3 linked regions of the Arabidopsis thaliana genome follow. The protein of the gene in region 2 interacts with the protein of the main gene of each other region in a pairwise test. Each region holds a gene or a part of one and is shown on either strand. Other genes may lie near its edges. The genes, in order: GATA4, AT5G18450 and BEL10.

Region 1 (3,917 bases), on a different chromosome or scaffold from region 2:
TTTTGTCAGTATAGTAGTTTCATTCATGTTTTGAGTTTTGTTGTTGTTTTCTTGAGTAGTCTCAATTGACCTCAACATTTTTGCAGTTTCTTGATATTTGAATTTTTGTCTTTCTTTATACATATATTTGATCCTCTTTTTTCTTGGCTTGGTTTAGTTGATAGTTTAAGCGGAAAATTAACCAAATTAGATTAGTTTTGTATGGTATTTCTGGTTCGATATCTTAATGTTAAGACCTTGCTTTGGTTTCTATTAGGATTCGGTCTGTCGGGGTTCTGGATTTGAATAACGGTGACACTATACACCACATTATGGTTCAATTTTCAGATCATTTGTTTGTTCTGTTTCGGTGTTACCGCCTAACCAGTTTAGTTTATTTATAAGAGGTTTAAGCACTTTGTATAAGAGTATTGGTAATTTTTGGTTCAGATGGAATAAAGCGAAAAATTGTTAGATTTGAATAGCCTAAACCAGAGAGAGTTAGGTTTGGTATGGCTTAGGTTACTATTTTTTAAGAAAGTAGTAAACTGAATTGCCTCGTGAAATGCCAAAAACTCAAATTCTCAAGCATGTAACATGTATGATGTATGTATGAAGATTAACCAGCATTGTCATGTGTGATATAACATCATAAGTCACAAAAAGCAGAGTCCATGGTGGTTGAGAAGCTTTTATATCTGAAAAGAGGAAAATTAAATGCCGCCAATGAAATCATTTAATGATATAACTTTAAGGAGAGCCGTGAGACCAATAAACAAAAGCAAGAAAAAAATCAATAGAAATTACCAACAAATTAATTAGCAGAGATTTGCAAACTTTAAACTAATACTGATAATTAAGTCCTTAACCCCTCCCGTCGGTCACGTGATCATCACCGTTAAGATTACGACACGTCACCAAATCACAAAAACCCTTGAAAAGAAAACCCCCAAATTTACTGCGGCTGAAACGGCGGAATTCGAACGCAAGATTCTTGTTGTTCCTTCTGTCGCCGGAGCTCCATAACTTTCCGATGAGAGTTCGAATGCTGAGTCAATACAAACGTCGGACTCGACGCCGGTCTGTATTCCGGTACAAGCCTCCCTGATTTGTAACGAACTCCACAAGCGTTACAAAGTGTTTTAGGTCCAAGCGGTCCAGTTCTCCACTGTGGCGTTTTCTCCGAGGCACAGTGCGTGCACCGCCTCGCTCCATCCGCCGTAACCGATTCAGCGTTGTAGACTTTCTTCGGTTTAGGTTTAGCGACGGAGTGACAAAGCTCTGATTCAGACATCGGAGCCCAAGTTCCAGCTACGGAAGGTGCTGGTGCTCTTGATCGGCGACTTCTAGGTTTTCCGGTGAATGAAATCTCGGGTCTAACGGTCATGGTTAAAGGATTTGCTGGGAAATCGGAGAATGAATCGTCAACGAATCGCGATAACCATTCGAGATGAGCTGCGTCGTCACTCTGCAAAACTCAAAATCAGAACTTAGAAATTCAAAATCAAAATCAAAATTAGGGTAAATTGAAATTTGAAAACGTACGGGAACGCAGAGATCGTGAGTGAAGTCGGTGAGGAGAGTAGGAGAAGTGTAGGTGGAAGAAGGAAAGCTGAAAGGGTTTTCGGAAGAAGCGGCGGAGGAAGCGGCGGAGGAAGTGACGGTGGAAGAGGAAGAGAAGATTTCGTCGTTGGAGAAATCGAGAAGGTCGTCGATACGAAGCAAGTCCGGTGAAGACATGCCGTAGACGTCCATTGTTGACTCGGACTCGCTTACTGAGTATGTATGTGGTCACTGGTTCAGAGGTTTAATATAGAGAGAGAGAATTAGTGTAAGTGAGGAAAGAGACGAAGATGAGAACGTGCATAGAGTTAGCATGCACCGAGACTGACCTGACCACTCCCTTTTTTTCTATTTATTTATCCACTTTAATATATTTGTCTACATTTTTCTTTGAACATGCATGTGCTATTTAATTTACTTACCAGAGGATTAATTAACCATGAATTACATAATGCATATACTAGTCTTTTTTTAAAAACGCATATATTATAGATCGAGCTTATATTCTAAACAAGCATTTTGAAAACATTTCTTTCAAAACAGACACTCTAAACAGTAAAAGCATATAATACTTCAATTTTTATTGTTACGGACATTTTTGCCCTTAAACTATGAACTGGAGTTGAGAATGAGGTGAAAAGAATGTGTTTATCTTCTAAAAATTGTATCCCCATCTCTGATTCAATTTTAAGTTTCTTTTGACATCCAAAGATATATGGCTTAGATAGTGGACTTGCAGCTTCGACGGTAGGCATGAAGCTTTGACGATAGCACAAAGATTTGGTGGTGGTTCACGGCTTTGACAACGAGGGGTAACGAACGGCGTCAATGGTAAACGCTATACCCTAGAATTAGACTTGTAAACCCAAACCGTCAAATATAGAGTATGCAATTCTTACATACACACAATAACACAACACTACAACCATCCTCATTATCATCAAACACCATTAACATGAACAAAAATCAATGTACTTGTAGACATGATTATGAACATCAATTGAGCAATCAACAAAGTATCAATCACTTCTTGAATTCCTTAACCTGCACAAAAATCACTGAACAAAAAAACGTGCAAATCGTAATACTAAATCGTGGGACTTTTTTGTTTCTTGTTTTTTTTTTCCAGATCTCAAAATGTGGGATGTTAAAAATCTAGATCGCATTCACATCTCATGAGGACCGATTGTTAGTCGTCTGAATTTCCAATCGTCGCTGACATCACTCTGTAATCAATGACTCCAAAGTTGTTGGTGTTGGTCGCAAGTATTTTTGATTTCTAGTGTAAAACGTAAAAGTTCATCAACAAAGAAAGAACAACATCATCTCTCTGTAAGGGTAAAAACGACTTTCCCCAGGAAAGAAGTGCCTAAATCTAAAGATCATTTCAAAAGTGCCTAAAATAAAATATATATCTAAGACAAATGCCTTATTTGCAATAAACTCATTATAGATCATAGTCTATAGTTTTATTAATTTAAACAAGTAATGAAGGGGAAATTAAATAAATGCAAGGTTACTAATTTTATTTTTTTCAATAAGCCTCTCTCCCTTTTGTTAATTAAATTCTTCTGCCATCTCCTAAAAAGGTTTTCCGATTTTTTTTCTTAATTTTGTTGAAATTTGTGAGTTGGATCATTTAGTATCCCGTTGAGTTTTTTTTTTTTTTTATGTTTTCTTGTTCAAAGAAAATAAAATAATATTCTCCGGAATGTGTAATCAATCATAGAGTTGAATTTCAACATGACCAAAACAAGGAAATAGAGAACAAAATTGGCTCAACAATTTATTAATACAAAGTGATGCGAATGTATAACTATCTTGTTTCTTGTGCTTACATGAATATTTCGCATTTTGCAATCACACTTACAGAAAAAGAAAGAGACACAGAAGTGGGACTAGCTTCGATCGTTGTAGAATAGAGTGTACACAAGTATCTAATATCATTCTTCAGTAACCTAGCATGTCTTTCACAGGTTTGATTAATAACTAATGTGATAACGTTTAGAAATATCCTTACTACCAGAAGTAACGAAAATTTAGTTTTGATAAAGAGTTGTTTTGACATATTATTTTAAACATTGAAGAGATAACTATAAAAATGTAGTGGGGAATGGGAAAATGGATGGAGACAATGAAGGAGATGAGTCGACCGACGATCCGAAGTGCATTGCACTTTGGTTCTATAAATTCCTATGGCCCTCTTTTTAGGTTTATATATACATATTTTTTCCCTATCATTTATCTTCTTATGTCTCTTTCATGCATTGCTCCTTCATTAATTTATTCAGTTTTTCAACTATACAGAAACTACTCATATATGTACAAACACGCACGGCACATGCATATGATATAAAGAATGGGGAACCAATTGT
Region 2 (3,308 bases):
CCCATGTATGATTGAAACAAAAACAGAGGATTTAATAAGTAGTGGTGTAAAAACAGATACTTCGTGCCGAAGCACCTAATCAATGGTAGAGCCATGTGTTCCGAGTCGTTTGCCAGGCCACCCTCGATCTTGACACCTGGCATATGAACATGACATATTCCATTTTCGCATGTACGTAGACTTATATACTTCGCATTTATTTTGTTGTTTATCTTATATTATTACTCCTATCCAAAAACTAAACGGTGAAACTTATAATCTAAGTAAAACCTCGAAAACGAAAACCTAAGAATCGTATACAAAATCTGTAAGTATTACATATGGATATGACTCGAGCTATTTGGAGTGTGGTTTTATTCAGGTTTGTGTTGTAAATTTGTTAAGAAAAACAGTTTTCGGATGTTTCAAAAAAAAAAAAAAAAAAGAGAAAATAATAAATCAATTAATTATTGTTAAATCTAACATTCACTAAATATATTAATCTTTTTTTAATCAGTTTTTGTTTAAAAACTCACAAAAACTAATTTTAAAAGATATTATTTACATATCATGAAACAGTAGAATATAAATTTTTTGTGTCAGATTATCCATTTTTATATTTTGCATTAGGAAAAATTAATGATGAAAAGTTTATGAATTTTTATTACCGTTCTGAAAATCTTCCACATATATTAGTTTATTTTATATCTTTTAAAATTATAATTTTTTTAATTATGCATGTGTATTTATATATTAGGGAATTACCGTACAATCTCTATAAATTAATAATTGATAAATTAATAAACACGATAAATTAATAAATTTTGTTAGTCCCAAGTCGGACCAATGTAAAAATTAACCAAAATCGATAAGATAATAAGATAATATTTTTTTTTGAAATTTCTATGTAAAATTATAGTCTCAATAATATTATAAATTAATAATTATAGATCTTAAGAATATATTTTAAGACTAATTTTTATATGAAATTTTTGTTCAAATTATAATTACAACTCTTTTTAAAATACAACTCGTATGATTTATGTTTTACTCACATAACTATTTGCATATTTGATTCGTCATAATTGATTTTGTAAAATCTTTTATTTGAGAAAGCATTGGTAAGATTTGTGTAAAGAGAAATTGGATTAAGTTTCATGTTTGTGTTTACGTTCACGTTAATATCGTAGATATACAGATACAATATCTTACCGAAAAATAAATAAAAGAAGTCAAGGAAAAATAAAAATCTGACATAATAATATATGCAAACAACAAATCATATAGAAAATTAAATTAACAGACATTTTTTAAAAATTATAGTATTGTATTTTACGTAAATATTTCTATAAATTAATATTTAATATTTATATAATAAATTATAAATATTAATTTATAAGATAAATTAATATTACTATAAATTAATAAAATTTTATTGGTCCCAACATTATTAATTTATAAAGTTTCTACTCTATATGTTTTAAATAAACAAAAAAATCAAAAAATACATTGGATATATAACATAGTATCTCCTTAATTTTCACTTTTTAAGGAGAGGGGCTTAGAGAGAAACACAAACACGTGAGTCATCATCAAGACAGTGGTCGGGGGTCACTTTCGTGTAACACAGACATTAAATCAAATAAACAAAACGAGAGATCCTTTACCTTAGTGTATACACACAGAACACACGTACACACTCATATTTACATTTGCCACGTAAGAATACGTATACTCCTGACGTGTCCTGTATATATATACACACGCACACTTCAATTTTTCATTCACTAAACCAGATTTAATTTGAGACTCTCAAAGAAACACCATGGAAGAAGAGCAACCTCCGGCCAAGAAACGAAACATGGGGAGATCTAGAAAAGGTTGCATGAAAGGTAAAGGCGGTCCAGAGAACGCCACGTGTACTTTCCGTGGAGTTAGGCAACGGACTTGGGGTAAATGGGTGGCTGAGATCCGTGAGCCTAACCGTGGGACTCGTCTCTGGCTCGGCACGTTTAATACCTCGGTCGAGGCCGCCATGGCTTACGATGAAGCCGCTAAGAAACTCTATGGACACGAGGCTAAACTCAACTTGGTGCACCCACAACAACAACAACAAGTAGTAGTGAACAGAAACTTGTCTTTTTCTGGCCACGGGTCGGGTTCTTGGGCTTATAATAAGAAGCTCGATATGGTTCATGGGTTGGACCTTGGTCTCGGCCAGGCAAGTTGTTCACGAGGTTCTTGCTCAGAGAGATCGAGTTTTCTACAAGAAGATGATGATCATAGTCATAATCGATGTTCGTCTTCAAGTGGTTCGAATCTTTGTTGGTTATTACCTAAACAAAGTGATTCACAAGATCAAGAGACCGTTAATGCTACGACTAGTTATGGCGGTGAAGGCGGTGGTGGCTCTACGTTAACGTTTTCGACCAATTTGAAACCAAAGAATTTGATGAGTCAGAATTATGGATTATACAATGGAGCTTGGTCTAGGTTTCTTGTGGGGCAAGAAAAGAAGACGGAACATGACGTGTCATCGTCGTGTGGATCGTCGGACAACAAGGAGAGTATGTTGGTTCCTAGTTGCGGCGGAGAGAGGATGCATAGGCCGGAGTTGGAAGAGCGAACAGGATATTTGGAAATGGATGATCTTTTGGAGATTGATGATTTAGGTTTGTTGATTGGCAAAAATGGAGATTTCAAGAATTGGTGTTGTGAAGAGTTTCAACATCCATGGAATTGGTTCTGAGAGTTTTTATTTATTACTATTATTTATCATACATATTTCTTATATTTGACTTAGGATTGTTTATTTGTTATACATCAATCGTGGGATTTTTTGTTTTCTCCTTGCATGTAGTGCTTATGTGTGTAAATAGGTTTGGGCATAATGTGAATTTTCTTACACGTTTTGTAAAAACAAATTAATAGAGATGAAGCAAGTTTCGAATGTGACACTATTTTTACTCTCATGTTCCTTGTATCAGATTATTTATCTTACTGTTTCCTGCGGACATATCTTCAAAACGAAAACACATATAGATTAATATCACAAATCCTTATACTGCTCATGTGTCCGGTCTTACAAATTTAAACATCAAACATCTTCATCACATGAGCTATCATCGCCATCCACATCATCGCCATCACTAAGGCCATCACATAAACCTTCAATTGAGGGATCTTCCATAGCATCTTCACAGCCAGTTTCTTTTACTGTAATCAAAGGTAACTTCAGAGGTTGCTCTGGAAACTCCTTCAACAATGAATTCATTACCATGAAGCGGAAGACCTGTAATAACTGGCTTTTGTCTCTCTTTATGTCTGCG
Region 3 (5,545 bases), on a different chromosome or scaffold from region 2:
TCCCTGAAACCACCCTAAACCTCCAAAATTGTTAACACCATCGGAGAAAGATGAAAATAGATAGATATAGAGATAAGGAGAGAAACTGAGATATCAGACCAGTCTGATTCTTTGAGCTGTTGCGCAAAAAAACCTCCGACGAATCCCATCCCGAGAATGAACATTTGGTTCGGCGATTCTGGATCTGGTGCACCGGATCGAGAATCGTCGGTTGCTGATAATGGCCGGAAAAAGTTGATTCTCCTACGATTTGAAAATTTAAGTGGTGTGGGAGTAAAACGGAAAGGAATCTCCGGTGACAAACTTGGTAACTGAAAAACCGCCATTGAAATCGGAGGACTGAGAGACTCCAAGGTCTGTTGTACTTTAACTGATTCACAGTACAAAGAAACTACGTGCCGTTTTGTTTTCAAAATCAAGGACTGCATTTCGTTTTTACAGTCCAGTGATATATACTATAAAGAATCGTGAAACATTTACCACAAAAGTCTCAAGTTCAGATTTTTTCACACTTGCAAGTATCCTTTATACCACCGTGAATATTATTATACACACATATCAATATTTGGCTTAAGAGTCTACTATACACAAAAGCAACCTACACATCTACTATATAATCCATAGAGAATGGGTGTATTATGCCTAATACTATAAAAATGCAAAAGCACATTTCTTGCGCTTCAAGAATCATCTCCTCTGTACCAAGAAGAACCAGATAATATCACACAACAAAGTCGTGTAAGTGATGGGAATTGGAGAATCTGCTTTCTTGCTGGTTGCTTCCGCTAATGTAACGGTAATCATCAACACCAAACCCGTGATAGTTCATCAGAGTGTCGTAATCCGATGAGCGGTTTATCTGTTGTTGCTGTGGGTCGTTATCATTGCCTAGAACACGATCTGGTTTGGTTTCTGATGAGAAGACAATGTTTGTTGTGTCTGCAGATGAATAAGCGAGGTTGCTGTTGTTGTTGTTCTCTTGCTGCTGCTGCTGCTGCGATGAGGAGTCTTCTTGGTTTGTGCTGTTGGGTTCTTGGGAAGATTTGGAGATTAGTAACTCAGATTCATCACCAAACTCTTCTTTATACATTTCTTCGATCATCGGTTTCCACAGACGAACTCTCGCGTTTATGAACCAATTAGCAACCTAATCATTTAGCAGAGAAACCAGAATTATTCAAGCAGAACACAAAGGGTGCAAATTTTAAGTGAAGACCAAAAGCTTGGTTTATACCTGGTTCTTTGACAATCCTGTCTGCTTTGCAAGCATGATTTTCTCAGATTCTTTCGGATATCTACAAATAAAAAAAACAGAAGAAAAACATAGAGTCTCTCTAAATGTTTTGTACTGGGAGATTGAAAGATTGTGACTTGTGACTTGTGAGAGAAGAAACACTTACGGATGAAGGAAATGTTCAAAGAGCCAAGCGCGAAGAACAGAGACAGAGTTTTCAGGAAGACCTCTTTGAGGTCTCCAAGCAGGTCGAACCATTCCAAGCTGTTGATGCAAAGCTCTTTGCTGTCTCAACCGTTGATCTAAATACCTCAACCTTGGTATCCTCTCTCCTTGTTGCTCATCCAACGACTCTCCTCCTTTCTCCCCAAGTTTTTCTCTAACAATCTGAATTTGTTCCTTTATTGCGTCGCGAAGAGCACGAAAATGGCGAGAGATTCTGTTGAGAGCAACTGATGTGTAAGGCTTAGCTGATCCAAGTCCTGCTACTATCTCAAATGATGAAGCTAATGCTTCCATTTGATGGTAATATTGGTTATATCTTTTATCTACCTGCAACCATTAACACATCCACAACAACCAAATCACCATCAATCCTGTTATAAACCAAAGGTAGTTTTATGAAATGTAAGTTAGTTACCTCATCAACCATTGTTAAAAGCTTGTTCTTCTTGTTCTGAAGCTCTTCACGTTCAATTGTAGATAACTCAATCGATTTCCCATTCGAATCACTCGATAACTCACCACCTCCTCCTTCTATCTCCTTAGAACCACTGTTAAAGTCATTAACTTTCATCTTCTTCTTCCCCATTTGGTTTAGTTCTTTCTTGACACTAACCACTTCATCAAGCAAATTCTGAGCAGGTTTAAGATACCGAGAACGCAGAACGCTGCTCATAAACCCTCCTGATGTCTCATTATACCGATAATTGTTGTAGAAGCCATTCCCACCATTACCAGCATAACCAGAGGAAGGATCAGATTGACCCAACAAGATCATTTCTTTGCTCTTCACACTCATCTCATCCACATGAAACGGTGACGTTTCCTTGACTGAAATTGAAGGATTCTGACTAGTAAACCCCAATTGGTATTGATGAAAGTGAAACGGAGCAACAGAGATCTGAGTACCAAGGCTCAAAGACAGTCCTTGACCATCGTGAAAGCTTAGATCGCTGCTTGAAACGGTACCGTTTCCTGTTACAACGTCTCCTGTGGTGGTTGGTGGGATAAAAACCATCTCGTTTCGAACAGTATCGCCGCCGGTGACGGTGAAAGAAGCGGCGGCGGATGAAGAAGAAGCTTGTTGGTTTTGTTGTTGATGGTTGAGAAAGATTGGTTCTTGCTGGTAACAACCGACATTACTTGTGTAATAAACTGCCATTGGTGTTTACACCTTTTAAAAGTTTTATTACAGTGAGTTCTTAGTTCGATGAGTTTGGTCGGGAAATGAGATCCTGCAAAAAAATAAGAGGAAGAAGAGTCGTGTAAGGTGTGGAATTTTAAAAATTTCTGATGGAATCTAAGAGAGGTTAAAACATCGTAATCATTTCACACCAAACCATTTTTTTTATATATCATACATAAACAGTTTCGAAAGCAACAAACAGAATCGGACCAAATTATTCGGAGGATTAAAGTCAAATTCTTGATAAAAAGCAAATGTTTTTCGTGAAGAACTGAAGAAACCCAGAAAAACCCAATACAGGAATTGTGTAATCGTAGAGGAATACCCGATCTATGGAGGTGAAATTGAGAGGAGAAAAAAACCCTAATTTGAGGTTGGAAAAAAAAATGCAGAGTAAAAAGAAATTGTGTAGCTCAACGTAGTGAGTCAAAAGCAGAGAAGATTCAATTATTACATAAAGAAGTAAAGTGTCTTGATGATTTCATCTCTTGTAGGAGAATTTCCAAAAAGCAAGGGAGAAAAAAAACACAGAAAGTATACAAAAAATAATAATCAAGAAACACAGTACAAGATTAATCATATCAAGAATCAAGAATCAAGAACTTGAATTTTTAAAAACTACCTGAGGGAGAGAATCAAAGTTAAAAGGAAGAAAAAAAACCTAGAGATTGTGTTTGTGAGTGTGGATGTGGCTGAATCAGGAAACACAAAAGCAGAAGAGTTTCGAACAGTTGAAGACAAAAAAAGATTTGAGACCCAATCCCGAGAGAGATAGAGAAAGAGGCGATTAATAATTGCAAAATTCTTAAATAAACAAATTTTTTTCAGTCCACAAGAACAATAAAACCAACCCAACTTATCATTGGGACATTAGACACCAACCCAATTTTTAAAAATATTATTATGCAATATCAACAATAAAATAAAATAATGATCACTACCGGAAAAATTTGACAACCGCTACCTGTAATTTTTAATTTTTTGCGGCAGAAGCTTCTGTTTCTGATGCTTAGAGTAAAGATAAATTAATATGATTTTTTTTGTGTGCCAACCATTCATAGAGAAACACGTGAGAGCTTACAAATCACCAATTTTCTTTTCTTGATTACGTGATAATATTTCTTATGACGACTTTAACATACAAAACTTAACAATTCCACACACACAAATAAATGGATTTTTATAGATGATTGTATTATACTTTAATGATGTTGTGTTGTCATTGACTTGAGACTCATACTACTTTTCCGTATAAGTTAACTAAATACAACCAAAAGAAAAAAGTTGAAGGAATGAGTGTTTATATATGAAAAGTTTAGTATTTGTATATTAAAAAAAAAAACCAAATCTAACTATTTAAACGAAATAATCTATAATGCGTACATTACCATGGTATCGTGGGAAACTTTTAACGACTTCCTGATTTGTGTACGTGAGGCTCCAAAATAGTGAAATTATTACCTGCCACAAATTATAGAGTCTAGATTTGGATTTCAAACTAAAATGTTTTTTTAAACTATTTGTTCTTATCACCTTGCTTTCATCATAAAGTTAAAGTTCGATACATTTTTAATAGAACTTCTTGAGCACTTTGTAGTTCAATATCTTTGAGGTTTTCTTTAAATGTTTGATATAACGGATATACTTTTAGTTATGCATGGTAGCGGAAATTAAACTCCATCAAATAAAACATAGAAACGTCATTATAGGTAGGAATATGAGATTACAAAACTGACCCTGATAAGCTGGTTTAAGGAAGAAGATAAAACAAAGGTGGGTGTGTGTCTGCTCAATTGCTTAATTGATGGATTAAATGACTTAACAACCAGTTGGTGAGTCCCTCCTTACTCTTCTGTTATACCCAATTTTTATTCTAAGTTCTCTTGTCTTTTTATTTCTTTTGTTATAAACCTTTTAGTTATACACTTACATGTTTGTATTTGCATATTCCACAATGAAGAATACGTAAAAGATTATCTTTATAGCTACACTAATAATATAATCCATTTCCTCTGATTTTTAAAATAACAAGTAGTTTCGTTTTGGTTTGTTGGAGATTGGATTTAGAGCAGCCGACACAAAATCATTTGGCAAGTACCATTGTGTTGGAAAATTATTATTCATGTGTTTTGAGTCTTTGAGAGATGATGATATTGACTTTTGTTTCCACGTGGATCTTGATTTATAATGATGATTAAAAATAAATTAATTAGGCAGTTAGCTGGTGAGAGATTGATTAAATCTACTAAAAATTTAGATTATTAATGATGTAATTATTTTTAAAACCGTATGGTTCTGTAAATCATATTTTAAAGTTGAGGATGAATCGATGATGCTAAACGAGGAAAATGTGTGTGAGTAAGAAATGAACAACCTTTGGTTTGGAGGAAAATGTTGAAGTATAATAATTCTTGCCAATTGTCAAATATATTAATTACATGGATATATCCGAAAAAAAACTTTATAATAAATAGCCACAAGTTATGGCCGTGTAACAAAAAGTAAAAGAATTTATTGCCACATACATTGTTGGACCATATATGAAGACGGATCATCACCACTAAAATTCATGTTTGTAACATTTATATTCTATGGATCGAAATCATTATGCTCTCCATTATTAGAACCAAACAAAACCAAACCAAAATTGTATCAGCAAAACTAATCTGAAGCCTAGCTTAGCTTAAGAAAAAAAAAGAATTAAAACCATATAGTATGCATTAACTATCATCATAACTAGTTTAGTTTTAGGCTTTTAGCAAATAGGCCTTTTAAAGCCCATTATAAATATGAAGAGAGGATTCCATCGGGGGCCTGCTGAGAAACGGCAATCAACTTCCTTCTAAATAACAAAAACGGCGTGAATTGCAAACTTCTGCAAAGAGTCAACACTGATTAGCGGC

Evidence for each region.
Region 1: the proteins of AT5G18450 (region 2) and GATA4 interact in a two-hybrid assay, tested with the Arabidopsis thaliana proteins (one large-scale study listed by BioGRID).
Region 3: the proteins of AT5G18450 (region 2) and BEL10 interact in a two-hybrid assay, tested with the Arabidopsis thaliana proteins (one large-scale study listed by BioGRID).

Annotation. Positions count from the first base shown.
Region 1 is NC_003074.8:22,371,165-22,375,081, reverse strand, and holds GATA4 (GATA transcription factor 4), read right to left. Parts: upstream 2,070-3,917; 5' UTR 1,735-2,069; coding exon 1,525-1,734; intron 1,448-1,524; coding exon 935-1,447; 3' UTR 528-934; downstream 1-527. UniProt on the Arabidopsis thaliana protein: Transcriptional activator that specifically binds 5'-GATA-3' or 5'-GAT-3' motifs within gene promoters. May be involved in the regulation of some light-responsive genes.
Region 2 is NC_003076.8:6,115,517-6,118,824, reverse strand, and holds AT5G18450 (Integrase-type DNA-binding superfamily protein), read left to right. Parts: upstream 1-1,783; 5' UTR 1,784-1,804; coding exon 1,805-2,728; 3' UTR 2,729-2,801; downstream 2,802-3,308. Other genes in the region: NUFIP (GATA zinc finger protein), read right to left, coding at 3,077-3,308. UniProt on the Arabidopsis thaliana protein: Transcriptional activator that binds specifically to the DNA sequence 5'-[AG]CCGAC-3'.
Region 3 is NC_003070.9:6,809,237-6,814,781, forward strand, and holds BEL10 (BEL1-like homeodomain 10), read right to left. Parts: upstream 3,828-5,545; 5' UTR 3,607-3,827; intron 3,522-3,606; exon of another isoform or gene 2,968-3,521; intron 2,759-2,967; exon of another isoform or gene 2,692-2,758; 5' UTR 2,619-2,691; coding exon 1,875-2,618; intron 1,787-1,874; coding exon 1,401-1,786; intron 1,296-1,400; coding exon 1,235-1,295; intron 1,148-1,234; coding exon 722-1,147; 3' UTR 529-721; downstream 1-528. Other genes in the region: AT1G19690 (NAD(P)-binding Rossmann-fold superfamily protein), read right to left, coding at 1-14, 100-326.